Tamandua tetradactyla: one gene and its partners. The protein of the gene in region 1 interacts with the protein of each later gene in a biochemical or structural test. Links are inferred from orthologs where the notes say so. Each region holds a gene or a part of one and is shown in the gene's direction. Other genes may lie near its edges. The genes, in order: H1-5, PRKCD, CCNE1 and CCNB1.

Region 1 (5,314 bases):
AAAATCAAGCACTTAGACGATTTCAGGGGTAAATTCTACCGGCGGGCAAGTTGGGTCGACGACAGCCAAATCCACTGTCACGTTTTATTCACATAGCCGGGGGGCATTTATGTTGTGTTTTTAAGTTCTATCACTCTATAAAGTCAAACGTAAATACGTGGCAACAGCTTCAAAGCCAATGAAGTCCCCTTTTACAGGAAAGTTGGCTGGCCGTGGCTTTAACAGTGCCTTGGGGTGGTTCTTAAGTACGCTTAAAATTTAATACTATAGGTATAGCGCTTAGCGACTCGGATTTCAAAGTACTTGAACCCCCTAATTAAACTGATCTCGTTTCCTTAACACGTTACTCAATAATGTTTTGTGGCAGGAAATCATTCAGGTCACTTTCTATTTAAAAAAAGCGCTAGGCGCTTTTAGATTCTCAAACCAACAACACACGTAATTCTGACGCGTTAAAAAAAAAAAAACCTACAGGCTTTGTTAAGAGGTAGGTAACTTTCTTTGTAGACTTTACCAGACTGAAATGGAAGTGGGAAATATTTCCCATTCATTAAGGGATTGAACAGAGAACCAATCAGGTGGGTGAGCTAGGTCAGTAGAAATCTGTCGAATCAGAACGCGACAGTCGCTATAAATACTGGGACTAACATCCTTCAGTCTCACTTCTGTGCGACTGTTACTCTTCTCCGTTATGGCTCGTACTAAGCAGACAGCTCGCAAGTCCACGGGCGGCAAGGCGCCGCGCAAGCAGCTGGCTACCAAGGCAGCCCGCAAGAGCGCCCCCGCCACGGGCGGCGTGAAGAAGCCGCACCGCTACCGGCCCGGCACCGTGGCGCTGCGCGAGATCCGCCGCTACCAAAAGTCCACCGAGCTGTTGATCCGCAAGCTGCCGTTCCAGCGGCTGGTGCGCGAGATCGCGCAGGACTTCAAGACCGACCTGCGCTTCCAGAGTTCGGCCGTGATGGCGCTGCAGGAGGCGTGCGAGGCCTACCTGGTGGGGCTGTTCGAGGACACCAACCTGTGCGCCATCCACGCCAAGCGCGTCACCATCATGCCCAAGGACATCCAGCTCGCCCGCCGTATCCGTGGCGAGAGGGCTTAAGTATACGCAGTGTTTCACTATAGTGCCGTCCAAAAGGCTCTTTTAAGAGCCCCTCAATTGTCAAGAAAGGAGTTGTTTATACCTTGTCACTACAAGCTGGACTCAACACCCAGTGCCACGTGGATTAAACTAAGAGGCTGAGTACCGATCAAACGTTGACATGGCTATTTCCGGCAGGGCAATTGGCACCAAGTCTGTAAATGGATAAATGCGTTCTGCATTCATGAGGTGGTATTAGGTTTTTTTTTTAACGCCTTAGCAAACTGAAAGGCTCCCATCCCTTCCTTAGTTTTATCTTGCCTATCCTTTACCGTTAACTCCCTCTCCTACGTTCCATTGTCCAGGTGTAGTTAAATTTAAATACTCGCTCCAGTCTTTCACAATACTCTTGTGATTGCTGTGACTCTCAAGTAGCAGCAGACAAGCAAAGATTGCATTTGAAAGCAGTTACTGGTCTCAGTAATCTCAACACTTAACCTAACACATTAGGACCTGCTTATTAGCCTGACTCAATATTTTTAGTTGTCTTGAAAGTTTCTATGTTCTTAACATATGATTATTAATTACCTAATTGTGTGCTACTTTCCTTTTAGGGTACACCCTTTTAACTCCAGGAGGTGGCAGTTAATGTCAGTGCAATTTTTTCTTGAGTGTTCTCTGGTAGGTTAATCTTCTAGGCCTTTGTTTTAACCCTAGTTCATACATCAGCCTAACAAAGGAGGCTTGTATTCCACCCACTGGCTCACTCAAGGTTTTTTTGGAATATGGAAATTGATTCTGCAAAAAGAAATAGATAGGACCAGCCAGCAGCATCTTCCTATAGATTCTTTAGAACTTAGAGCTCCTTTAGGGGCTGTCAGTTAGTTGTATGGTCAGCTTGATGCTGCTTCTTCCAAAGTTCATATATGGTCCCCCTCCCTAACCGCCCCCCCCCTATATTTTTCTACCATAATAGATCTGGAGCCTAGTAATCTAGACTCCAGCCCCATTGCTGCCAGCTGCTAGCTAAATATCTCTGGAAAAGTCACTCATTCTCTCTGTGTGTCTCATCTTATAAAGCCGTAAAATGTGCAAATGAATTAAAACCTGTAGAACATAGTTCATAGCACTTAGCAAATACTCATTAAATGTTAGCTGTTATTGTTGTTCCCAAACCCACCCCTGGGAGCATGGAGTTTTGAGATTTTTTTTTTCCTACCCCCGGATCCTTTGAAAATATTGTGATTGAACAGTGAAAAATACTTGATAAGAAAATTTCTTGCTTCGATTCCCTTTTCCTTAATTCTTGATTTGCATGGTCCTGAAAAAGGCCTGCAGCAATATACTATGATCTGTCTCTGTGTGGAGTTTGAAACAGCACAAAGACCAGTTAGCAAATATTTTAGGTTTTACAAGTCACACATGGTCTGTGTCGCTTATTCTTTCGGTTTGTGTGTGTGTTTAATGAGACTTTTAAAATGTAAAAACCATTCTTAGCTTGAGGGCCACATGAAAATGGGTCACTGCCTGGATTTGGCCCCAAAACCATAGTTTGCTATCTGCTCCTGGAGTTCCTGGAAAGAAGAAAAGGGGGATTGACCATTCAGCCATTCTTCCACAGTCGTACAGTTTTTCACTGGCAAGAACTAAGTGACTGTCAATTGCATTAGAGATCTAAATTATCATCTGATCTTCCTCATCAACCGAAATCAAAATCCTGTCCATTTTTCTCCCAAATATATATCAGACTCTTGCACCATCCATTGCAACCTCATAATCATTGCATCCATTCCTTTGGGGGGGGGGCGGGGAGATGCTTTCATGAATTATCCTGAACTTCTATAACTTCTAGTCCCTCAATATCCAAACCACCCTTCTCTCAGTAGTCAGATACTTTTCCATAATACAAGTCTATCCCTGATTAAATAGACAGAAATATCCCACTGGAGTCTCCTGGCTGCTTGGACAAGAGCTTTAAGACTCATTAAGTTTTGAGCTAAGGAGTCAGTGTCTGAGCACTGGGAAAAAAATGTCTTGTGAGCCTGACAGGGTCCAAGGTCATCTAAACAGTTGGTGCTTTATTCTGAGACTACTGCGAGCCCTTGAATAGTTTTCAGCAGGTTTGAGGGTTTTTGCTTAAAGCAAATCATCTGGCTATGCATTTTTTGTCATGGTAATGGCTTTGGTCAACTAAAGAGAAAGCATCTCAGCCAGTTCACATACCAAATTCAAAAGCAATTTGAATCCAGGTTTTTGGACTCTGAAGCCAGAGCTATGTGCACTCATCCTACTGCAATATGGAAGATGTCATTCTGGCAACTGACCTTTTTCAAGCTCCTAAGTTTCATTCTCGAAGGACACCAGCACATGGACACTCCTAGGAGGCAGAACCAAGTTTTAAAGAAGGGTCTAATGCAGTTAATTTGGGACTATAGGCAACCAGCTGCCCTGGCCTGTGTTACTTGGTACACTTGGAAACAAAGTTTCTCCCCAAACTAAGGAACACTGTGTCTTTCCTCCCGCAAAAATCAAAGGCCAAACCTATGGAAAAATTATCTTAGATAACTTTTGCTGGATACTTGGTAGAAATTTCTTGCAACATGCCACTAACTAGCAACTTGTGTTCAGCCACGTGGGTTCATATGAAAACCTGAAAGGATTTTCAGAAATATCTTTTATCAGTTGCGCACGGTTCATGAAAACAAAAACAAGTGTGTGAATCTTGAGGCTGTTTTCTTCCTTTGGAACTTAAAAGCGTCAAATTCTGTACTGCTGTTTTCAGCATTTAATAAAATTTTGGAGACTAACAAACACAACTTGGGAGTCCAACCCCGAGCGGCGAGAGCCCGAGGGCGGCGGATTGGACGCTCCACCAATCACACGGCAGCGTCGGCTTATATAAGCCCTGGGCAGGCCTGGGCCAGCATTGCTGAACTTGTTCGTTCTCGGTATAGAATCTCTTCTTTAGTTCATCCTCTCGCCATGTCGGAAACAGCTCCTGCTGAGACCGCCGCCCCGGCGCCGGTGGAGAAGTCTCCTGCTAAGAAAAAGGCGACTAAGAAGGCGGCAGGCGGCGGCGCTGCTAAACGCAAAGCGACCGGCCCCCCGGTGTCTGAGCTGATCACTAAGGCGGTAGCCGCTTCCAAAGAGCGCAATGGTCTCTCCTTGGCCGCGCTCAAGAAGGCGCTGGCGGCCGGCGGCTACGATGTGGAGAAGAACAACAGCCGCATCAAGTTGGGACTCAAGAGCCTGGTGAGTAAGGGCACGCTGGTGCAGACCAAGGGCACCGGCGCCTCCGGTTCCTTCAAACTCAACAAAAAGGCGGCCTCTGGAGAAGCCAAACCTAAGGCCAAGAAGGCCGGTGCGGCTAAGGCTAAGAAGCCCGCCGGAACCACGCCTAAGAAGCCCAAAAAGGCTGCGGGCGCGAAGAAGGCGGTGAAGAAGACACCGAAGAAGGCCAAGAAGCCGGCGGCGTCAGGCGTCAAGAAAGTAGCCAAGAGTCCTAAGAAGGCCAAAGCTGCCGCCAAGCCGAAGAAGGCGGCCAAGAGCCCAGCCAAGCCTAAGGCCGTGAAGCCGAAAGCGGCTAAACCTAAGGCCCCTAAGCCCAAGGCTGCCAAACCCAAAGCTGCAAAGGCTAAGAAGGCGGCTCCCAAGAAGAAGTAGGAACCTGGTGTGATAGAAAGTGAATAAAGCCCCAAAGGCTCTTTTCAGAGCCACCCAAAGGTCTCATGAAAAAGCTGTGCACTATAATACCAATCCTCAAACCTCCTGTCTACCTCCTTGATGAATAAACCTTCATCAGTGAGTACCAGCTCCTAGGGGGGCTTGTGTGAACAATAGTAACCCTGCAGCTCTGTCCACATGACATTTCTTTTAAGATTGTGGGACAGTACCCCTTCCGGCTACTTCCAAATATTTATTTGGTTCTCTTAATATTTGTTACATCCTATGTCAGAGGTGCAAATTTGGTCATTTAGTAAAACAGCCTGCCTGTTTATAATAAATTGGTTTAGGCAGAGCAAAGCGCCCCGTACGGTAAGGAGTTAGCAGTTTACTACACTGTTTCCCTGCAAAAAATTCTCTTAATGTAAATTGTCTGCAACCTACTTTCGACCTGATGCTCTTTACGGGGCAGCTACGAAAAGAGAAACTAATTTTAAAAACCCGCGCCATACTTTTTGATTGGTCGAGTGTTATTCTGGCAGTTGACGACTCACTTGTATGATTTTGATA
Region 2 (7,298 bases), on another chromosome or scaffold:
CCGTCCTCCAGCCCGGGGCACCCGCAAGCTCCCAGCTTCCCACCAGCCAAGATGGGCTGGGTGAGCTGTCTTCTGCAGAGGGAGACTGAGGCACTGGCAGGTGAGGGGGCTGGTGAGGCCCAGAGCATCTGGGACACTCAAGGTGTCAGCACCTAAGACGTGGCAGGCCAGAGCAGGGTGGATCCTGGGACACAGAGGTGGGGAAGGTGGGGGCAGTGGAGGAGAGTTGGCGGCTCCTTGGGACTCTATGCGGAGAGGATGGCTGTTGCCTGGGATTGCTCGGAAATAAGAACCCCCATCCTCCCTCCCTCCACGTTCTTTGGGGAACAGGTAAGCCCAGGAGCTGCCAGTGAGGGCTGTGCTTTGGTCAGTGTTGGGTGGGGACAGTCAGGGGCTGTGTACCCCTGTACGGCTTTAAAAAATCCCTGAGCCCTGTGCTCTCAGAAAGCATCTTCCCCTTGTCTACCCCAAGTATTTCGCAAGTTTCACCCAAGCACAAATGTAATTGAGGAAGGAACTTGGAGACCATTAGCTTGGCCTTCCCAACTCTTTGTAGTTAGTAGCTTTGCTGCTAGAGCCCCTGGAGCCTGGTCTCTTCAATCCTCTCAGCAAGCCTGTGAGGTGGATATTACTCTTATCATCTCCATTCCACAGATGAGGACCCTGAGGCGCACTTAAATTACAGGTCCAGGACACAGCCAGGATGTGAACCTGGCCACTGCCTGCCCAACCTGCCCTTACCCTCCCCCACACCCAGTGCCCCAGGCTGAAGCCTCTGCTGATGGTGGCCTGAGGCATGGCTGCAGGTTGGACCATGTCTCAAGGGCCCTCCTTACCCACCTACCCCCAGTGGAACCCTCCCAGGTTCTGCCATCCCCCGCAGTTGTGCAGGTGCACGGTCCCTGCTGGCCTGGACTTCCTGCCCCAGAAACAGGAGCCTACTGTCTCTTGGCTGGGCCAGCGTTCTGGGTGTGATGGGGATGGTGCTGGCAGCCAAAGCTTCAGGGACAGGGATGGCAAAACAGGCAGAAACAAAGAGAGGGAGTGAGAAGAGAGAGCAGGAGGTACAGTGAGGGGCCAATGAGGAAGAGGCTGAGGCAAGGACCAACTGGCAGGGAGCAGTTGGGGGTCCCTGGTCCACCCACAGCTGCTGGGGGAGGGGTCAGAGGAAGGCTGCTTGACTGAATCCTGAACTTGCTGTAGAAGGCCTGAGGGCTGCCCAGTGTTCATGGCCTCTGGGCAAGACAGGGCCCGGGGCAGGCTGCCCCTCTTCTGGACATCCCCTGCAGGGCGACTGTAGAGGAACAGCCCCAGTGGATGCCGGAGGTGGGAGTCCAGGATGCTGCTCAGTTGTTACACTGGACAGTCCCATTTCCTTGGCTGTAAACATGGAGGAGGGGGAAAGGAAAGTACCACTTCTGGCTGCTGCACTGGGCCCAGCCCTGCCAGGGGATTTATGGCCCACATCACTAAGGCCACTGAGGGCTCTTCTGAGGCTGACAATCTGTGACTCAGCACAATGACCGTACCCATAGTATGTGGCCAATGTGGTCCAAGTCCTCACTGGGTGCCCACTCTACCCACTCTGATGACCTACCAATAGGTAGGTCATCAGCTCCTTTCACAGAGCAGACTTAGATTCAGAGAGATGCATTCATCTGCCCAAGTGGCACAGCCAAGTCTTGTCCCCAGGCCTCAGCAGGCCCTTCTTAGGTTAGTGCCAGGCAGGTTGTGGGGGCACAGAAACAAGCTCATCTGGATCTGTCCTGGCCCATTCTGTGCGGTACTCAGGAGGAGATCCAGGGTACAGGGAGGCTCTAGCCAAGCTTGACCTGGACTCCCTGGACCTCACTCAAGCCTGATCCTCCTCAGGCTTCTGGATACACACCTGTCCCTGGAGGGAAGCCCAGCTGCCTCCCTCCTTTACCTTGGCCAGGGCGTAGGCTGCACAGCCTCAGCTGTTCTGCCCTTTGTCTAAGTGCATTACACTTTCCTTTGGAGTCTCCAGAGGAAGAAAATTAGCTGAAGTGAATGTGTGCTCTCAGTCCCTAAGATCATGAGTCTGCATAATCCTGAGGGCCAGAAAAATGCTTCTTAGTATCTAACCCAAATCCTTCTTGCTCCTGCAACACTAGCCCAGATCTAAAACAGTGGTTCTCAACAAGGAGTGATTTTGCCCCCAGAGAACATTAATAATGTCTGGAGACATTTTCGTTTGTTACAACTCAGTGTGTGTGTGTGTGTGTGTGTGTGTGTGTGTACTATTGACATCTACCAGATAGAGGCCAGGTGTGTTGCTACATCCTACAATGCACAGGTTGAGGATGGACCCTACAACAAAGAACTATCTGGCCCAAAGACGAGTAGTGCTGAGATTAAGAACCTCGGATTCAAAAGTAAGGCATGGGCTTTGGAGATAAGCAGACCTCAATTTGAATCCTGCCCCCGCCATTTACAAATATAGAACCTTTGACAAGTGGCATCACCTCTCACTGAGCCTTAGTTTTCTCCTCACTAAAACTGGTGTTAACAACAGCCCTCACCTCACTTGGTCTCGAGGACTGAACAGATCACCCACATCCAGCACCTAGCACAGGGCCTGACACTGGCGAAGTCCCAGTCAGTGACAGCCACTGTTCTTTCCCTTTTTCCAAGTTGAACTGCATGCAGGGTATGGTAGGAAAGGTCTGGTGACTACACCTGGAGCTCTCCTTGGGTGGAGCAGAGGAATCAGGACTGGGAGCCTCATCTTTATTTTCTTTTCAAATTGGGTCCTCCCTCCTCCCAGGTGTAAAGCACCCCCTGCCCTCCCCTCCACGCACACTCCCACCCCAGGACTTCAGATGAGTGTTGTATTTCTGCCTCTAGCCCTGTTCCCCCTCCTCCCCGACTGGGGATCTCATACTCAAACTGGATTTGGGATCCACTAGCCCCAGGAATCTCACTGGAAAACCCTCCCCTCCTATTCCCACAGCTGGGCAAACCATCTGGGTCTGGCCCCTTCTCTGCCAGCATCTGCCCTGACCTCAACCCAGACTCCTCCCACCTGAACAATGTGGCAGCTCCTCTGTCCTTCCCCATACACCCCTCCCCCTCACTGTAGTCCTTCTGCTTCCCATCAATCCTCTCCTATTTCCTATCTCCTATAAGCCTCTCTTCCCTATCCATTCTGTCCCAGCCCTGTTGCCCCATCCATTCTTCTCTGCCCCTTTTACCCCCATCCCTCTGTCCATCCATCTCCTCAAAGGTCTGCTTGATCCTGTTATCACATCCCAGTAACAGCCTCCACCACCTTCCTGCTCCTTGAGAGGATCAAAGTTCTGGCCACAGCTAACTGCCTCTGCATGGGCTCCTTGCTCAACTCAGGCCCCCTCAGGAATTGTCCCCCATTCCATCCATTAGGCTTAGGAAAAGCTGTTCTGACCCTCCCCTTTCCTCCTCTCTAATTATTCCTCCAGAATGTGGGAAACCTCCCTTTTTGCCTTTTGGGAGGTGACATTTTTTGGATGAGTATTGGGCTAATAGCTTTCAGAGCTTTGGGGGCAGAGGAATGAATTCCCCTGGGCCCCACTCGGTCCCCAGGAGAACACTCAGTCAATGAATGAATGAATAAATGATGACTAACATTTCCAGGTTCCAGGTCTGGAAAGGAAGTTCGGATGCCTGCTGGGGGAGGTCCCCAAGGTGGCAGCAGGAAAGTGGTAGACTGGTGGGGGGGTGGAGGGCGGATTTGGATAGGGGCGGCACCCAGAACCGCCTGTGGAGTAGCAGCGGACCAGCCAGAAGCTCCCGCCCTGGAGTCTTTCCAGTTCCGTCTCTGGAGTCTGGGCCGGGACCGGCAGGCCTGGCTGTGGGCACCGAGCCCGGCCACGGACGCGCTCCAGCCAACAGGAAGAGAAGGAGCGAAGCTGGGCGAGGCGAGCCAGCTGGCGAGTGGAGAGTCCGGAGCATGGAAAGTCGGGGAACCCCCGCCGGCGCCTCCGACGAGGGGGACCCGGGTGTACGGGAGCAGTGGCAGGGGGGCACGGCCCGGGTCTCAGCGCCCTCCTGTAAAACGGAATCCGCTCTGAGGGCTGGTGCGCGCGCTCATGGCGGGCGAGAGCGCGAAGTGTGCGGGGAAGGGCTGAGAGGCCCAGACAGGGAGCCACGCGCACCGAGCCAGGCAGACACCAAACCCCGGCTCAGGGCTGGCGAGGGCGGACCAAGGGGCGGGGCCGGCCGTGGGCGGGGCCTGCCGGCACCTGGGTGAGGTCGCGCCGCCCCGCCCCCTGGCACTTCCGTGTGCTGCGGCGCAGGAGCGGGAGCCCGCTGGAGTCCCGAATCCCCGTCCGACCCCCGGCGTCCGCCAGCCGATCCGAGACCCGGGCCGTACCGCATAGATCTCCTCGTCCGCCCCAGTCAGGACCCGCACCGACCCTCGCCCGCGCAAGTCCCGGAGTCACGCCGGGAGCCAGACTCCGCCCACCGAGACCCCTGGCGCCTGGCCCCGAGCCCGGAGGTGAGTGAGGGCCGGGCCTGGGCTCGGGGTCGGGGCTACCCGGAGGGCGCGCCACTCCTCTCAATCCCCTCCCAGTCTCCAGTTCCCGTTTCCGAAACCGAGAAACTAAGCCGCGGCCAGAGAAAGTACCGCCGTCCGCGGAGACCCTCTGGTCCCTCGGTCCATCCGTCTGTCGGTCCCTCCGTCAAATGGCGGGGCCGAAGGCCCCTTGTCCCTAGCCCTTCTACACAGCCTCTGTGCCTCTAGCTCCTCCAAGTGTCTGTCTGTCTCTCTCGAGTCTTTCTGGGGCTCTCTGTCCATCCCCATCGCTCTATGTCCTCCTGTCCAGCACTCCCCAGCCCCTTTCTGTGTCAATCTCTCCGCCTGCCCCATCGCCCCCCTCCCCGGACCCCTTGGTCCTGTCCTGCCGGAGCCCGCCCCCTGCCCATGTCCGCTTCTCCCTCCGCTGTCCCCTGTCTATCTGTTACGTCCTCTTTTCCACTCCAGGGCCGAGGCCAGGCTGGCCACCGCGTCTGTCCTCCCGTCCTGGGTCCCTGTCCAGTCCGCGCAGGGCCTACTTCTTGCTGTATTTCTTCTTTCAGTCTCGATGTCTCTGTCTCTCCAGCTGTCTCTGAATTGAGCGTCCCTCCAGCCTCCATCCCCCTTCCGGCCCCGCCTCTCCACCCCTCAGCTCTTCTCAGCCCCCTCCTCCGGTGGCCCCTGCCTGGTTATCTGTCCCCAGCCAGGCTCCTCCATTGCCCAGGCGCCACCAGCCCACCCCAGCCTGGTGAGGGGAAGGGGAGGAAGGGGCCTGGCACACCCTTTTGTCCACTGGGGTGGGGGGTGGGGTAGGAGGTGAGCAAGGTCAGAAAAGCCCCCACTTCCCTAACTTTTGGGGGGAGGGGAGAGCCCCACCAACCCCCCTGCTTAAACCTGGTCATAATGATTTGATAGTATGGGGGAGGGTCCTTTTCTCTGGTCCCCATACTGTATGTGCCGATCCTACATCTTATAATGAGTTGCCTGTGTCTGGGCATGTGGGTATATTGTGTTTGTGCCTTCTTGTATATTCTTTGTCATGGGGTCTGGGACTTGCCCCTGTGTGTGTTTCCTTTTTAATGTATGTGAATAGTCAATGTGTATGTGTGTGTCTGGTTGCATGTGTCCTTTGCAACTATGTATGTGTCATGTCTTGGTGTGTTCTTTGTCACCAGACTCCTCTCCATGTGTTGGAGTGTGTGTGTGTGTGTGTGTGTGTGTGTGTGTGTGTGTATATCCCCGTGAGTGTCTGGAGGGTATCGCATTGCATGGGTGTGTCATGGGGTGACCCATTGGCCATGACTACATTTGAGCTGTTAATCGTGGGAGCCCCTGGTATCAGGATGCCAGCCTCACGTAAGCGTCTGTGTGTGTGTATGTATGTATACATATTTGATTCTTCCTTTCCTTTTGCCACTGAGCTGCTGGGGCTAGGCTGCCCTGGTCACTGAGGGAAGGGACTGGTCCCTTGGGTTTCCTCCTTCCTGCTGTGGACTATGGGGTGGGGCAGGCAGACAAGCTGGCAGAGAGCAGCTGTGTGACCTGTGTTTGTGTGTGTGTTTGTGAGATGTGGAGGTGTTTGTGCCTGCCCGTGAGATGGTGCAGGGGATCCAGTGTGTGACAGCCCTGGCTGAGGGTGAGGCATTGGTGGAGTGAGGTTCCAGTGTGAGTGAGTGACTGGTGGGAGACTCACAGTCTGACTGTATGAAACTGCGAGTGTGTGTGCTCAGGGCGTGACTGTGTCTGTGGGGAACTGAGAGTGCCCTAAGTGTGGGTGTTGGTGCAGGAGGGGGTGTGACAAGGTGTGTGCATGGTCTGTGTCCCAGGTAACAGTGCTGGGGGAGCGGGGTGGGGTGAGAGTCCCCAGCATATATTTGAGCGTGTGGGAGGCTGCAAGGGTGGGGGTGTGCACATGACATGCACCAAGCCCAGCCCTGCTCCTGCCTCCACTCTCCCAAGTTGACAGACACCAAAGGGAAAACCCTGGGGTTTGTAGTGTTGTGATCAAGACTTTGGAACCAGGAAAGACTTGGGCTCAAGTCTTTTGTCTTAAGAGCAAAAGCCCTGAGCTAGGCCCCTTTAAGGCTCAGCTTCCTTATCTGCAGAATGGAGAAGGCTGCTGTGAGGGCTGGAGATCCTGTGTTGAAAGTCCTTTAGCACAGCCTTCACTCATAATGAATGCTTGGCACATACTAAGTATAGTTTAGTAACCATCCCCCACCTCCCCATCTCTGCCCCCAACTTTATGGTCCTCATTCTCTTGGGAGCTAGGGATAATGAAAGCCTAGATAGTCTCCAACCCAATTTCCTGCCTTGCTGTCTGTTGGTATGTCAGTTACCTCTCCTACCCCTTTGACCAGACTGTTTGTAGGAGGAAGGAGGGGCTGACAGAGCCCCCAGCACCCCCCCCCACTCAGTCTACGTGACACCCGTCCACCACTCCTAGGCTTGGCAACAGCATTGGGGGAGGGGGTGCAGTGGGGTGGGGGATGATTTGGAGCTGTGACTGCAGGGCACTGACACTTTAGTTTAGATGGTATAGGTAATTGGAGTTTAAATCAAAACTAGAAGTTATTTAAAGTGCAGACAAAAAGATAAAACCTGAGGTTGCATCGGCCCCAAGGGAGTAGTTATGGGGGTCTGTATCTGGAGAAGGGGCGCACCTCTGGGGAAGGAAATCTTTGGTGGAGTCATAGCCTGGCCTACAGTAAAAGTGCTCAGGCCTTGCAGCCAGGAGACTCAAGCCCTCTTGCTGCCTTTGCCATTCATTCCTTCCAGGACA
Region 3 (7,147 bases), on another chromosome or scaffold:
TTAGTACCCCTTCTTTACATCCCTGAACTTAGCACAGAATCCATAAATGTAAGCCACCATGGTTATTCTATCATATAGTAACTTTAAGTAAAGGCTAATTTTAACTTCCATTGGGGCTTAACTGCTCACACACCCCTCCATCTAAAGAAGCATTCCCTGGACTTGCTCTTCAATATAAGCAGTGGTTCAGCCAAGGGTGGGACCACCAACTGGTTTGGCAATGGGTGGCCAACTTCCACCTCCAGGTCCACCCACAGCAGTGTGAACTCTCTCCCAGCCATAATAACTAAGCAACAGGAAGCATGGATTCCGCCTCTTAACTCCCGTTGGCCTGGCAGGCCTGTGCAGACAGATTTTCAGCATTGAGGGAAGACAGGAGCCAAGCCTCCCAGGCTTTCCCACACTCCAGTTCCCTGGCGCTGGGCTGCAGCCGCTCTGGCCGCCTCTCTGGTTGACAGTCTGGTCCTGCCCATCCCGCCTGGCCCCTGCCCCACAGCTCCCATTGTACAGCCAGTTTGGCCCTGCTTTTCTAGTATTCCCATGTGCAGTCTCACTGGACCCTCCTCCTTTGGCACACCCAGGCAGTCACAGTCATTCAGCTCTGCTCAACAGCAAAACTTCAGCCAGTTCCACTCCCAGCTTCAGCCCACACCTCCCGTGATCCACCCTCACCAGGAGCAGCACTCCTGACTGTTCTGTTAGGATGCCTTTGAGGAACTAGTGAGGGTAGACCAGGAGCCCAGGAGAATGCACACAGCACTGCACATAGCTACTGTCAGCAGGCCATTTCCTGAGCTCCTGAAGGTTGGGGGGCCAGGTTATAGAGCCCTATCTAGAAAGGAGTTTCTTCTTGTAGCCCCCTGGGGCTGACTTCTCCTGAACACTTGCATCCTGGGTCCTGTCCTTACCTCTCCACCATCATCAGGGTCTGGGCTACTTATGAAACTAAGCGAACATCCTCAAATTTCTGCATGAATAACACTCAACACATACCAAGCACTTACTTTATGCCAGAGACGCTTCCAAATGCATTACAGATATTAATATATTTACTACTCACAGCAAATGACCAGACTCATTTTACAGACTCATTTTACAGAGAAAACTGAGGCACAGAGAGGTTAAGGAACTTTGCCAAGGTCTCATGGAGGAGGGGAGCTAGCAACAGCTAGCTCACACCCTCTGATGCAATCTACAGTCTTCCCCAAGACCGAGCCACTGCTTGGAAACTCTGGACCTGAGGCAGGCACAGAATGAAATGAACACAAATAACCAAAGGTGAGCTGCCCCAAACAAGCCGCCCTCAGTAACCTCTGAAGACTCCACACCTTTGTGCAGGTTGTTTCCATTGCCTTGGATGCTTGTCTTTCCTGTCACTACAATACTCCTCTATCCTCCTGGCTCAGTTGCTGCTTTCTCGTGTAGCCTTCTTGGCATCAGAAGATCCTCCCCATGAGAAGTCATAGCCCTTAGGATGTTCCTAATCCTCCCCTTATCACTCTGTACTGTGACTCCCAGACTGAAAGCTCCAAGTGGGTAGGGATTGTGCCCTGTTTTGAATTACTCCTTTGAAAAATTATTTCCTCCCTTACATTCAGTACAGTGCACACATAGGAAGTATATAGCTCAATGAATTGTTATGTAGGTATACACCCTGTAACCACCACACAGATCAAGATACAAAACATGTCTATACACAGGTTTCCTCAGCCCCCTCCCAGCAATACCTCACCCCCATTCCAGAGGTAACGAGTGTCGTGACCACTGCCAACACAGACTATTTTGTTTTCTTAAATTTCAAATAATTGAAAACACACGGTACACAGCAGTGCTCTTTTTTTTTTTTTTTTTTTGCATAGGCAGGCACCGGGAATTGAACCTGAGTCTCTGGCATGGCAGATGAGAATTCTACCACACAGTAGTGCCCTTTTGTGCCTGCTTTTTGTGCTCAACATTATGTGTGTAATATTTATGCACATCATTGTATGTTCCAGTGATTTCTTCCTTTTATTGCTGTATAGTATTCTATCGAATGAATATACCAAAATTTATGTATCTACTTTACTGTTGGTGAATGTTACCTGGGTTATAGTGTACCGTTCTGAACTCTTAATTCTTTGCTGGTTGAAATGCAAATTGCTACACTCACCAAGGAAAACTCTGTCGTGCTAACACTGTTATGAAAACTCTCATTTATTGAGCATTTACTATGTACCAGGTACTCTACTCCATTTTCTCAGTTGGTCTTTACAATGACCCTAGAAAACAGTCACCCTCTGTGAAATAGGCCAAACAACGTCCAACATTATAGGATTATTGTGAAGTTTATAACTGAGATCATGTTTTGAAGGACTTAGCCCAAAGCTGCCATTTGGAAAGTGCTGTTTATGCTACCTGTAACTGTTATTACTAAAAGGCACAGGGCTGGAAGTTCAGGAGTCTAAGTTCCATGCATACCTACGCCATCCTAGTAAGTTAACTCCGCAGCCTCAGTCTCTGAGTCCCATGCGAGGGTATGAATCCCATGGCCAGGACCTCTGAGGACACAAGGCAGTCATGGGGGAGGGGGACAAGACTGAGGACATGGATTAGGAAGGGTCTAGGGGGTGTTCAGGATCCCTTAATGACACACTCCTTCTAGAAGTTGAATACAAAAGATACTTTCCAGTGGAAATAATCAGTATCTGTCTCTACCAATAGGCAGTAAGCTCCAGAAGATCTTGGCCAATATAATTTTCCAACCACTCATTCATTCACAAATACAATTTAAGTATCCCTCCCCCTTCCTGCAGGCACTATACCAAGCGCAAGGGATAAAAAGACAGACAAGGTAGAGAGAGTGACACTAAACAAGGAAACAAAGAAGAAGCGAGAGACATATTACAACTGCTGGGCAGGAACCTTAGCAAGGCCATGAGGAGATGAACTCCCGGGGAGAGGGACACTAAGCTGTCACTGACCACCTGGAAGGGTTCCCAGAAGGATAAGCAGCCCAAGTGGGCCAGACTAGGGAACACCAAGCCCCAAGGCCCCGAGGTGAGAGAGAACAGACGGTGGCCAGAAAGTTATGAGGGGGAGAGAAGGAGGCGAGCGGCGGCTCATATAGGGCAGGGAAAGAGTGTGGGTTTGGTCCTAAAGTTGATGGGAAACAACAGGAAAGTTTTAAGCAATGGAGGCAACCCTGGGCCTCCGGGCATCAGTAAGGCCTTCTCACGCTCCCACAAGGGTTTGTGGGGGAGGGGCGCCCAAGCAAAACGCACATGGAAGACGCTCGATTTTACTTGAACAAACACACGGATAGATGGACGGATGAGCGCGCCACCTGCGGCCAGAACCAACAGTTGGTCCACAGGGGGCTCTCAGGCCTGGGGGCCGGAAGCTCCAGTTCAGGCCCAGCGACCAGGCGCTGTGACCTTGGGCCCGTCCCCGCCCCGGACCCAGGGCCCGGAACCCTGCGTCTCCGGGGCGGGGAGGACGTGCCAGCAGGGACCATGCGCGCAGCGGGATGCGGCGGCGAGTCCTCCGGGTCGAGCCCTCTGAGGCATCCGTCCCCCCTGACCCCTGGTCCGACCCTACCCCGGCCCAGGGCGCGAACGCTTTCGACCCGCAGTGTTTACATACCCCCCGCGCCGGCCACGCGGCTTTTTGCCGCAAAAGCGCCGTTAGGCCCCGCCCCCGTTACTAGGGGCCGCCCCTCGGCCGCGCTCGCGCCTGCAGTCTCCCGCCGCCGGTCCCGCGAGGGCTCCACCGCCAGGCCCCGCCCCTTCCCCGCGCGCGCCGACCGGCTCTCCCGCGTCCGGCTCCGCGCGGGCTCCGCAGCTCGGACCTGGTCCCGCCTCCGGCTGCAAGAGCCTACCCCTGGCCTCAGCCCCGCCTCGTACGTCCGCGTCCCGACCCTCCGGTGCGCAGGCCCTGTCACTTGGCCCCGCCCCCCCAGGCCCCGCCTCGGCAGTGGCCCCGCCCCCACGGTCCCCTGCGCGCCTCAGCGGGCCTGCGCCGCGGCGGGGGCGGTCCTGAGGGCGGCAGCTGGGCGGGCCCGTCGAGTCGGCGGCTGCTGAGGGGCGCGGAGCCGGGGCGGGGCGGGGCGGGGCAGGGGTGGCGGGAGGGCGCGAGGGCGGGCCGGGGCCGGTTCCGCGCGCTAGGTTTTTTAAATGTCCCGCTCGAAGCCGGGCGCAGGAGCAGCCGCCTCGGCCGCCAGCGCGGAGTAGGGGGAGGCGCGGATCCCGCCACCGCCGCGCGCTCGGCTCGCTGCTACCCGCCGTCGGCTTCTAGCTCGCCGCCCACCCCCTACCTCGGCTCGTGCCGGCCTACCTGCCGAGGAGACGGCTTCGGGTAAGGGTCCCGGCGCGGCCGCTGGGACCGGGGCGGCGGGCTAGAACTCCTGGGACACCCGGTCGGGTCGGGCCGGGTCGGGTCGGGTCGGGCCGAGGGGTGAGGGGGTGAAGTTGTGGCCGGTTCTTCGGTTTCCCTGAGGCGTCAGTGCGGGGTCCCCCGGTAAGGGAGCTCGGAGACACGGTGAGGGGTTAGATGTTGAGGGGAGACTGAGGCAGCCCGGGCCCCGAGGAAGACGATGGGCCGGCAGGAGTTTTCGAGGGGGCGTCAGGGCCCCCTAACCTGGGTTCAGACCCAGGATCGCCGGCCACTAGCGGCGCCACGGGTGACAGGCCACCCCGGGCCCATCGGCCATTTTCCCGACCGGCCCGGGAGGCTCCCGCCGCCGCCTGCGCGGGAGGGGGAGGGGTGCCCTCGGCAGGCAAGCGGGTCCTGGTTCCCCCCCGGCGGCCGCCCTCATCCCACTGCCCGATTGGTGTCCCCCAGGCCTGAGGTCGGAGCCTGCGTCTTGCGTCATGCCGAGAGAGAGAAAGGAGAGGTGAGTGGTTTGGCCGCTGCGGGGGAGGGGAGGGGTGTCTCGGTGGGGGAGGGGTGATGAGATTTGGGGAGAGCTTACTCCGCCCACGGTGCTGCCCGGCTTTGCAGGGATGCGAAGGATCGGGGCACCATGAAAGAGGAAGGCAGCGCCGATTCTTCTGTTCGCCCCAGGAAAAGGAAGGCAAATGTGGCCGTTGTAAGTACAAAGGAGACAGGTGGGGAGGTCCCCCCATCTCACCTGGGTACCAGACTGGGCCCTTCCCACATATTTATATTAAGGAGGTTAGTTGGGGGTGTGTTTGGCAGAAATGGTGCTTATAACCTTAGCAACTTTCTTTTTTTCTCTGTGTGTTTTGTCTTTGGATTGTTTTATGTTAGTTTTTACAGGATCCAGATGAAGAAATTGCCAAAATTGGCAGGACTGTGAGAAGCCACTGTGGTAGTCAGGTATGTATGCTTGCTGTTAAGGCTTCCAAGGAGGGCCTCCCACTTTTTGGGGGTGTAAATTGGGTCTTATATTCCCTTGCTACCTGCTGAAGCCCTTTCCCCCAACTACAGCCATAGTCCATATGGCTGAACTCTGTGCCTATCTGTGGACACTGACCTCTGCCAACCTCAGGATTCCAGGAAAGTCTTGCACTCCCGATTGGCACCCTCTGAGTACAAATATGCACAGATGTCTGGAAGAACCAAAATGGGCATCAAATAATCTTCTACTTTTACCCAGGAGTAAACTGAGGCCCAGGCAGAGGTAGAAAGTAACCCAGAGTCTAATGCAAGCCAGGGGCAGATTTGGGCCTACAAATTTATCTTCAAAGACCTGTGAACTGGAGGGAGCTTTCTAGACACAGAGCTCTTGAGATAACTATGATGATGGGGGCTTGTGTAAGGAAAGCAATGATTTCTCCCCCCTCACACTTACTTTTTTGTCATAGTATGCTTGTCGTATTTTGTCAGGAGTGCGGTAACAAAATACCTCAGACTGCTGGGCTTTAATAACAGGAATTTAATGTCTCACAGGTTTGGCAGTTAAAAGCCCCAAATCCAGTTGTTTGCAGGATCATGTTTTTTCTGAAGTCTGTAGTGTTCTGGCGGTGGTTTGCCAGCAATCCATAACTCAATCTCTGCCTCTCCCACATGGCCCCATCTCCTCCTATATCCAAATCTCCTCGGCTTATAAATACTCTAGTCATATTGGATTAAGGCCCACCCTGATTCAGTTTGGCTTCCCTTACATGATAAAATCTTCAAAGATCCCATTTACAAATGGGTTCCCAACCACAGGACCAGGGATTAGGACTTGAATATATCTTTGTGGGGAACATGATTCAATCTATAACTGTGCTTTAGGACCCTTTTTCTGCTAACCCTTCTTTCCCACACCCAACCTGCCCAGATCTGATCTCAAATCTTTTCCCCCTTTCTGACCCTGGTAGATCTAGCCTGTCCAGCAAATACAGTGATCACTGCTGTTTGGGGTTTAGGTTAACTTGGCCTTAGTGAGAGTATTAATGAAACATTCTGTGTGTTTCAATACATGCTTTGTCAACTAGTCCCTTTCTCTTGCCCCTCCGCTAAATTTACTTCGTGGAGTGTACTGTTACTATAATACCACAAGTTTTTTGCAGAAAAAGCTCGTATTATCTTTCTACCTCCAGAAATGGGTGAGGGCTGTAGTTATGGCTCAAGTAGAGGTGCATCCTATCTTCAAACTAGCTGGTCAGGCCTTCTGAGCCTGTCGCAGATAAAAGCTATGCAGAAATAATCTTCACCCCAAGGCCAGTGGTCCCAGCTAGTTTAGGAACAGACAGTACATTGCTTCATGGGGCAGTACGCAGTGGCCCTAACAGCATGGTCTAGAAGAAGGAAGGTCTTCAAAGCCTGTTTCCCATACAATTTTTAGAGTAGTTGGCCACTGCATGAAAGACCCTAGTATTGAAGATTTCCTGGGAGGAGCCACTGAATATTGAACAAGGGATTGATGTCTTTCTCTGGTAGGAGAAATATTTCACATGAAGAAAGGGAATGGACACAGCACTCCAAGTTTTCTTTCCCTTAAAAAAATTTAGTCAAGTTGATTTTGTGGACATTATAAAATGAATCTCTACTTTGTGAAATCCAAGATTGTTTATTTTCCAGCAATAAATTAAGGAATTTCCAATTGAAGATAAAGCAGATCCATCCATATTGACTTCTTGAAGTTTTAGAATCATTTCTCTTTTTACAGATAACCTGGGCAGTTTCTAGGGTACCTCAGATGGGGCCATGGCTCTTTCCC
Region 4 (7,171 bases), on another chromosome or scaffold:
TGGGTATTATAGACCCCAGCTGGGTTTTCCTGGACCCAACTGGCCTCCTATCAGGGGGAAGAAATCACCTGTGTCAGTTTTCCCTGGGGGTGAGACCCAGCAGGTTGAAAGACTTTCCTGTGAAGTCTCTGGACTCTGTTTTTCTTATCTTGCCCAGTGTGTGGGGCTTGTCTGCCTTCAGGTCCCACCAGCATAAGATGATGTGGTACCTTTAACTTTGGCAGACTCTCCCTGCTGGGGATGTGGTGGAGACAGAGGACAGGTTGTAGGCTGGTTTTAATTTAATACCAAGCTCTGGTGTCTGAATTCCTTGAGGGAAGGATTCCACCTGAATTGGGCTTCACCCCTCCCCTGGGGAAGGCACAGGCTCGAGACAAGCCCTGAAACAAGCTTGTTTCTGCCTATGCCTGAGGCAGTTGCAGCCTGAGAAGTACCCTGCTACTGAATCCAGAGGCAGTCTAGCCTTTGTAGAAACACAGCCACAAAAACCTCTGCTTCTTTTCTTTTTTTCTTTTTCCATTAGCCCAATGAGCAACCTCCGCTTTGACCAGATTCACCTGAGCTGGGGGCCTATTTTTAGTAGTCAGAATTTGTTAACTAATTCCACAATTGGCGTTTGCTTGGGCTCAGCCCCTGCTGCTGGTAAACTCCTTTCCTTTCCCCTCTGGGAAGCGGCCTGTGGGGGAGGGGCGCCGGCCGCTGTAGCTTTGGGAATTCACGGTTCTGGGGGGTGCTCGCAGCTGGTCCAGCTGGTCCAGACTGGGGTATGCCGTGTGTCCGGTCACTGACGTGACCCAGGAGCTGTTCTGAACTGTTTGTGATTATTCAGTAGTTGTTCTGGAGGACGAACTAAAACGTGCACATTGCTAAGCTGCCATCTTGGCCCCTCCTGAAGTGATTCTCTTGACCAGCTCCATTGCAGCAAGCGAGTTAAAGTGTTTTTGATGAACTGTTAATGTAAATACAGTCTAGCCTATATGGTTTCATATACTATTATTGCAATTGTAAGGAACAGTTTCGAATGCAGCCTTCTAAACCAGGAATCTTCAAGCCAAGGGAAAAACCTGTTTATAAAAGTATGGAGATCAGGGTTTCTTGACTACTGACTGAAGATTTGCATTTCAATAGGCACATGGATGAGAGAAGATTAGGTTATCTGAGAGACTATCAATATTATTAAAACCAAAAAATGGATTATAAAGGTTTTGTGGAGGGCAGATTCCTTCTCTCAAGGCCTACATTGATAGCAATGTCACTCAGCATAAATACAAAAGATGCAAAAGGCACTGCCTGTAATTTTGGTAAATTTTGTAGCTGTGCTTCAAATGTCTGAGAATCATTTAAAGCAAAATCTATGAAGTCACTATTTTAAAAGCCTGTAGGTAATCCAACCAGCACAAGGACCTTTTCTTTTGATTACTTAGTTTAGAGGAAAACTGTCATTAGTTGTTTCCCGTAATGTGATACCATCAGCTTGATTTTACATTATCTAAATACCTTACCAGTATAACTGTCATATTTATAAGATAATGGAAATCAGTGTTATACTTTAAACATTATTTGACTGTTATTAACTTGTTTTTTTTTTCAAAAATAGTTGCTAGACTAATTCTGCAAGTGAAATCATTGCCCTCCCCCCTCCATCGGACATGACATCCAAGAGTGAAAGTCTCCCTGCCGGCATGGGAGATGAGTTCCAGGGATGAATCCATACCTGGCACTGTGGGATCAACAATGCCATCCTGACCAAAAGGGGGAAAAGAAATGTAACAAATAAGGTATCAGTGGCTGAGAGAGTTCAAGTAGAGTCAAGAGGCTACTCTGGAAGTTGCTCTTACACAAGCTTCAGGTAGACCTTGCTACCTATCATAACCTGCCAAACCCCAACCAGGACCATTCCAGCCAATCCTAAAGAACACCTAGGGCAATATATAAGATTCCATAAGGGTTCCATGCACTAGAGCAACTTTCCAGAAACCTACAACCTCCAGGTGGGTCCCTGGTCCAGATAAGTCCTGAAATCTAGCCATTCTCTCCAGAACATCAGATAGTTCCATCTCCCTACCCCATATTACTGACAGACCTTTCAATATAAAAAATTTAGAATTGCCATAGCCCAAACAACCCTAAAGATAGGGATGGAAAGATCAAGGATAATAGTGGAGTTATACAGAGAAGATAGGATTTAACAAATGAATATGAATGCTGAATCATTAACTTGATATCTCTTCTATCAATTAGAGCAGCTAGAAGTAAAAACCTAAAATTGTGGAATTGTAACTCGTGTCAAACTCTGAAATATGTTCTACAACTAGCTGTGCTTTGAAATTTATAGCTTTTTTGTATATATGTTATTGTTCACAAAAAAAGGAAAAAAGTCAATTGTGATAAAAAAAATATTTAAGCCCTCTAGCCTCCTATATTCTGGAGCAGCTAGAAGAAAAAATATGAGAGAATCATATGGTAGCCCATGATAAACTCCGGGATCTGTCTTATAACTACTCGTTGAAGAGTACTTTGAAAACTATTGCTTTTTCATTTCTTTGCTTTGTATATATGTTATACTATACAATAAAAAAAGTTAAAAAAATAGTTACTAGATATAATGAGCCTAAAGGTGTAATTTCTTTAGGCAAAATAGGAATTGAATCCATACCAAGAATAAACAGATAAGCAAATAAGTAAATAAATGAAGAAGGAAGATCTCTTGCTTATTGTAATAGAAGGCCAAGAGCTGAAGGGATTGCTGGAATTGGAAAGTCATTGTTTTGCAACCATCCTGATAAAGACAGTTTCAGATAAAATCATCAATGGACTCTGTGAGGTGCGATAAAGTGAAGCACAATAAAGTAAGTATGCCTGTATATATATGCAAAAAAAAATCATCAATGGATGTGAAATCTAGAGGGAGTTTTGAGGAAGAGCAGAATATTTGCATGGTCTTAGAGAGTGTCTCCCCCAAGACACTTTACTAGTTGCAAAGAAGAAAAAACAAAGCAGTAATTTTACAGTGGAGAAACCAGGTAACGTTTTTAACACGTGAACAAAATATCACCTATGAGGGACTGACGAACATTGTATTTCTATAGACTTGATACTCTGAGGATACATCACTTATGCAGTATTACAGCCAACAATGCATATTACCAATTAAAATCACAAGGAACCAGCAGACAAACAAAAAAGTGAGAAAGTTCTATTAAAAAAAGCGAAAGGACACTTTTTTGTATGCTTCAAAAATGTCAATGTGATAAGACAGAAAAGCTGTGGAAACTGTTCAGATTATAGGAGGCTAAAAAGACATGAAAATTAAGCATTTGATCATAGACTGGATCCTGTACAGGCAAAATGCTATGAAGGACATTACTAGGTCAATCAACAAAACTAGGATAAAAATTGGATTAAAGAAAGTATTGTAATAATGTCAATTTCTTAAGAAATGCACCCTGCAAAGATGGTTGAATCTGAGTAAAGACTATACAGGTGTTCGCTGCAATATTTTCATATTTGCGACTTATTCTAAGTTTGATATAATTTCCACATAAAAAACTAAAAGAAGAGATTGGCTTTGAGAAACAATTTGATTGAACTAATCGGGCAGGTTCCGAAGCTGCCACAATCCTTGAGACAATGTTATGGAAACATCATGGATCCGAAAGCCTAACCCAATCCCAGCGCCCAGCATTTGTGATCCTTGGAAAGCCACCTAAGCCTCTCCGAGCTTCAGCTGCTCCACCCCGGAGAGCTCTTGGAATGATCAAAGGAAAGAATGAATAACAAAGCCTTTCATGAATTATGATATTGACGCTACACGCCAGTGTGGAAGAGGAAAGGGGTATCAATAAGGAGGACGGAAGCCATAACTGCTCGTCACACCTCTAAAACCGCGTCCGCCGCACTGCCGCTTTCCGCGGGCCACCTCCACGGCGCGCGCACCTACGCCTCTCCAGGTGCAGAGGCTGCCCAGAGCGCGCCCAGAGCGCGCAGCGCGGAGCCCGGCCGCGCGAGGCCCCGCCCACTCCCCTCACCCCCGCCCCCGCGCCGGGGCCGCGCCCTCGCCCTGGCCCCGCCCTGGCCCCGCCCCCTGTCCAAGGGCTTCGCGGGATCGCCCTGGAAACGCATTCTGGGAGGAACTGGCAGCCGCCAATGGGAAGGGAGCGAGTGCCACGAACCAGCCAATAAGGAGGGAGCAGTGCGGGGTTTAAATCCGAGGCGGGGCCCCGCTGCTCCCGGCGTGCTGCGGAGGAACGGCTGTTGCTCTGTGGTGGCACTTGGTCCCCAGGTGGTCCGGGGCTCCCGGGTTCTGCTTCTCCCTCTGAACTGCTCCCTGGTGAAGAAGAAGCCATGGCACTCCGAGTCACCAGGGTGAGTTGCTGCGAGCCGTGAGCAAGCGTGGCCTTCCCCCCGTGCGCCCTCTCGTCCTCCGTCGCCTGCCGGAACTCCCCGACTGGGCAAGGGCCGGGCAGCGATTTGGGGAGGAGGACGGAAGGTCTCGGAGAGAGTGCCCAGGGCGCCTGGTGTGCTGGGGGAGGTGGGGAGCAGTCAGGACGGAGAGAAGGCGAAGAAAGACCTGGAAGGGCCTTGAGAAGTACTGGGGTGGGGGGGGGGGGCTGTAGCGTTGACGGGAAGCCTTTTTTAAAAGGTGGTGGAGGGCCGCCGAGTAAGCTCCCAAGCTCCCTTCCTGGAGAAAAGGTGCCTGCAATCGGAGCTTTTGTTTAGGTTTTCTTTCAAATGTAGATTCACGCTAATTTGAGAGTTGGCCCCAACTCCCCGAAAATCCCTCAGTCGGTGAGTGAAGTTCCGGGAGGGAAGTAACGTGTCACGGCCTTAGAGAAGACCCCGAGACCCAGTTTTCCCCTCCCCGCAATTTCACTCGGATTTCCGCCTCTCTTGTGCCGCACCTTAATTAACCCTCGACTCACCCCGGCCGGGCTTGAGCAGCTCTGAACTGATCTTGCTTCTTGCAGAACACGAAAATTAATACTGAGAATAAGACGAAGATCAGTATGGCGGGCGCAAAGCGAGTACCTTTGGCCTCTGCTGCAGCTTCCAAGACAGGGCTGAGGCCAAGAACAGCTCTTGGAGACATTGGTAACAAAGTCAGTGAACAGCCACAGGCCAAAATGGCCTTGAAAAAGGTAACTTAGCTTCCTGGCCTAATTTCTCCGTATAAACCCACCTCGCAACTGTGGCTCTTGATGGTGGAATATTCCATTCCTTTCCTTTCATCTACAGGAAGCAAAAGCTTCAGCTATTGGGAAAGTTATGGCTAAAAAACTACCCAGACCTCTGGAAAAAGCAGCTTTGCCTGTGCCGGAGCCAGAGCCAGAACACGAACCAGAACCGGAACCCATTAAAGAAGAAAAATTTTTGCCTGAGCCTATTTTGGTAAACGCATTGTTACCTACTTTAGTGTCCTTTCCCCTCATTTGACTAATGCATGGGATAACATTTGAATACTAATAGAACATTTTAGTTCATACCCTGAGACAGGCTCTATTAAGTACTTTTCATGCATTAACTTGCCTAATCTTCGCATATACTCTCTCAGGTAGCTGTTATTACTTCTACTTTTTAGATAATGACTTAGAAAGGTTATAAGTATCTTTTCCAGAGTCATAAAGCTAATAAGTAGCACGTTCAGGACTCAAACCTAAGCTGTCTGGCTTTAGAACTAGTGCTTCTAAGTGCTCTCCAATACTGCCCACCTTTGTTAATGGTATTAAGTAGTAGCTGCCTGGAGCAAAGATTTTGCTGACCAAGTTCAAACCATTCATGTCTCAAATTTCTTGACTGAAATACAGAATAGTCTCTTAAATCTTTTTTTGGTCACCTAGTTTCCTTAGGTATCCTGTGTTAGTGTAACATTAATTAGATCACTTCATGATAATACCAGAATTAAATAGGTTTGTATCTTCTGTTCAGGTGTGCCTCTGAAAAGTTGTTTAGGGTTGACTTTTCCAGCAATTCTATGTAAATCCTATAATAAGAGAACTTGCTAAGAAAAAGAATTTTAACTCAGATTTTTTACCCAAGAAAAATGACAGGCTTGGTAATTCCCTTGAGAAGAATGTACTGCTCCAGTTTTAGGAGCCTTAAAGGTGGGAATTTTCTTTTTTAATGTGTTCATTGGATAATTAGCCTGTAACATTGGAATGTATGAAGGTATGAGGTAGAAAGATAATGTAGCTAGCTCTTCAGAAGGAGGCAAGAAGATGAATTAACAAGCTAGGCTTAAAAACCAGGACTTTTTATTAAATATCAGATACATAAATATATCTACTCCTCTGAAAGGAGGACAAGCCATCCAGAAAATGGGGCATTCTACAGATATTGTAATGAAATGTATTCCAAGGCTCTAATTTTTAAAACTTAGGTTGGGAAAATAATCTATTATCATCTAGTTATTCAGCCTAGATGTTGATATCTAAGGGTAAGAGATTTGAAGCCTCTCTGCTTTAGTATTGATCTTCGGAACATAGCATATCAAACATGTAGCTGACAGTCATTAATATGGACATACCAAACTACCTAAGGTTTCCTTGAAAGCACTGTACTGATTCCTGCCTTTACTTTCTTACTAAGAATGCTTTCTCCCACCTTCTCTCATCTACTTGGTAACCTTTTCATCCCTCAAAACAAAACTCAAGCATTAACCTGTAGAGCTATCTCTAATTTCACCTACTGCTACCCATGTTTCTAGAATCAATCTCTCATTGATTTATTCTTCTAAATTCTAAGCTTAAGGATTTCAAGAATTCAGTGCCTTAGAAGACAACTTGCAAAACATGCTCAAATATTTGAATAATGTCGGGAAGAGAGCATAAAGGAAATGATTAATCACCGTGAGAAGAAGCCCATATTTTGAAGGGGAAAAAAGTATACATCTAAAGACTGGCTTCTCATTAGTTCAGGTCTAAGACTGCCTTGTCAGTCACTTAGATTCTTCACAGATGGCACTAATAAACAGATACTACTTTTCTTTAAAGGAAGGTCTAGAATATGAAAGTATTTGCTCCTGCTACATTTTACCTTTTAGCACTGAGGTTCTGCTGACTTCAAATTGGCTCAGTTTAAGCTGGCATTTCACTTTTGATATTAATTACTTATTAAAGAGAAATTGAATAAATCTGAAAAGACAATAGTTTTTCCTTAAGGAAGTGAGTTGGAT

What was found.
Region 2: of the proteins of H1-5 (region 1) and PRKCD, one has a biochemical effect on the other in vitro, tested with the Homo sapiens proteins (2 studies listed by BioGRID). The link is inferred for Tamandua tetradactyla from reciprocal best matches to the Homo sapiens genes H1-5 and PRKCD.
Region 3: of the proteins of H1-5 (region 1) and CCNE1, one has a biochemical effect on the other in vitro, tested with the Homo sapiens proteins (4 studies listed by BioGRID). The link is inferred for Tamandua tetradactyla from reciprocal best matches to the Homo sapiens genes H1-5 and CCNE1.
Region 4: of the proteins of H1-5 (region 1) and CCNB1, one has a biochemical effect on the other in vitro, tested with the Homo sapiens proteins (2 studies listed by BioGRID). The link is inferred for Tamandua tetradactyla from reciprocal best matches to the Homo sapiens genes H1-5 and CCNB1.

Annotation. Positions count from the first base shown.
Region 1 is NC_135351.1:30,971,334-30,976,647, reverse strand, and holds H1-5 (histone H1.5), read left to right. Parts: upstream 1-4,000; 5' UTR 4,001-4,063; coding exon 4,064-4,744; 3' UTR 4,745-4,804; downstream 4,805-5,314. Other genes in the region: histone H3.1, read left to right, coding at 692-1,102. UniProt on the Homo sapiens protein: Histone H1 protein binds to linker DNA between nucleosomes forming the macromolecular structure known as the chromatin fiber. Histones H1 are necessary for the condensation of nucleosome chains into higher-order structured fibers.
Region 2 is NC_135341.1:32,530,740-32,538,037, reverse strand, and holds the start of PRKCD (protein kinase C delta type), read left to right. Parts: upstream 1-4,285; 5' UTR 4,286-4,498; intron 4,499-7,298.
Region 3 is NC_135342.1:37,230,677-37,237,823, reverse strand, and holds the start of CCNE1 (G1/S-specific cyclin-E1), read left to right. Parts: upstream 1-4,128; 5' UTR 4,129-4,332; intron 4,333-4,393; exon of another isoform or gene 4,394-4,494; intron 4,495-4,818; 5' UTR 4,819-4,847; coding exon 4,848-4,870; intron 4,871-4,977; coding exon 4,978-5,065; intron 5,066-5,247; coding exon 5,248-5,316; intron 5,317-7,147. UniProt on the Homo sapiens protein: Essential for the control of the cell cycle at the G1/S (start) transition.
Region 4 is NC_135335.1:117,328,385-117,335,555, forward strand, and holds the start of CCNB1 (G2/mitotic-specific cyclin-B1), read left to right. Parts: upstream 1-4,146; 5' UTR 4,147-4,344; coding exon 4,345-4,365; intron 4,366-4,967; coding exon 4,968-5,138; intron 5,139-5,235; coding exon 5,236-5,388; intron 5,389-7,171. UniProt on the Homo sapiens protein: Essential for the control of the cell cycle at the G2/M (mitosis) transition.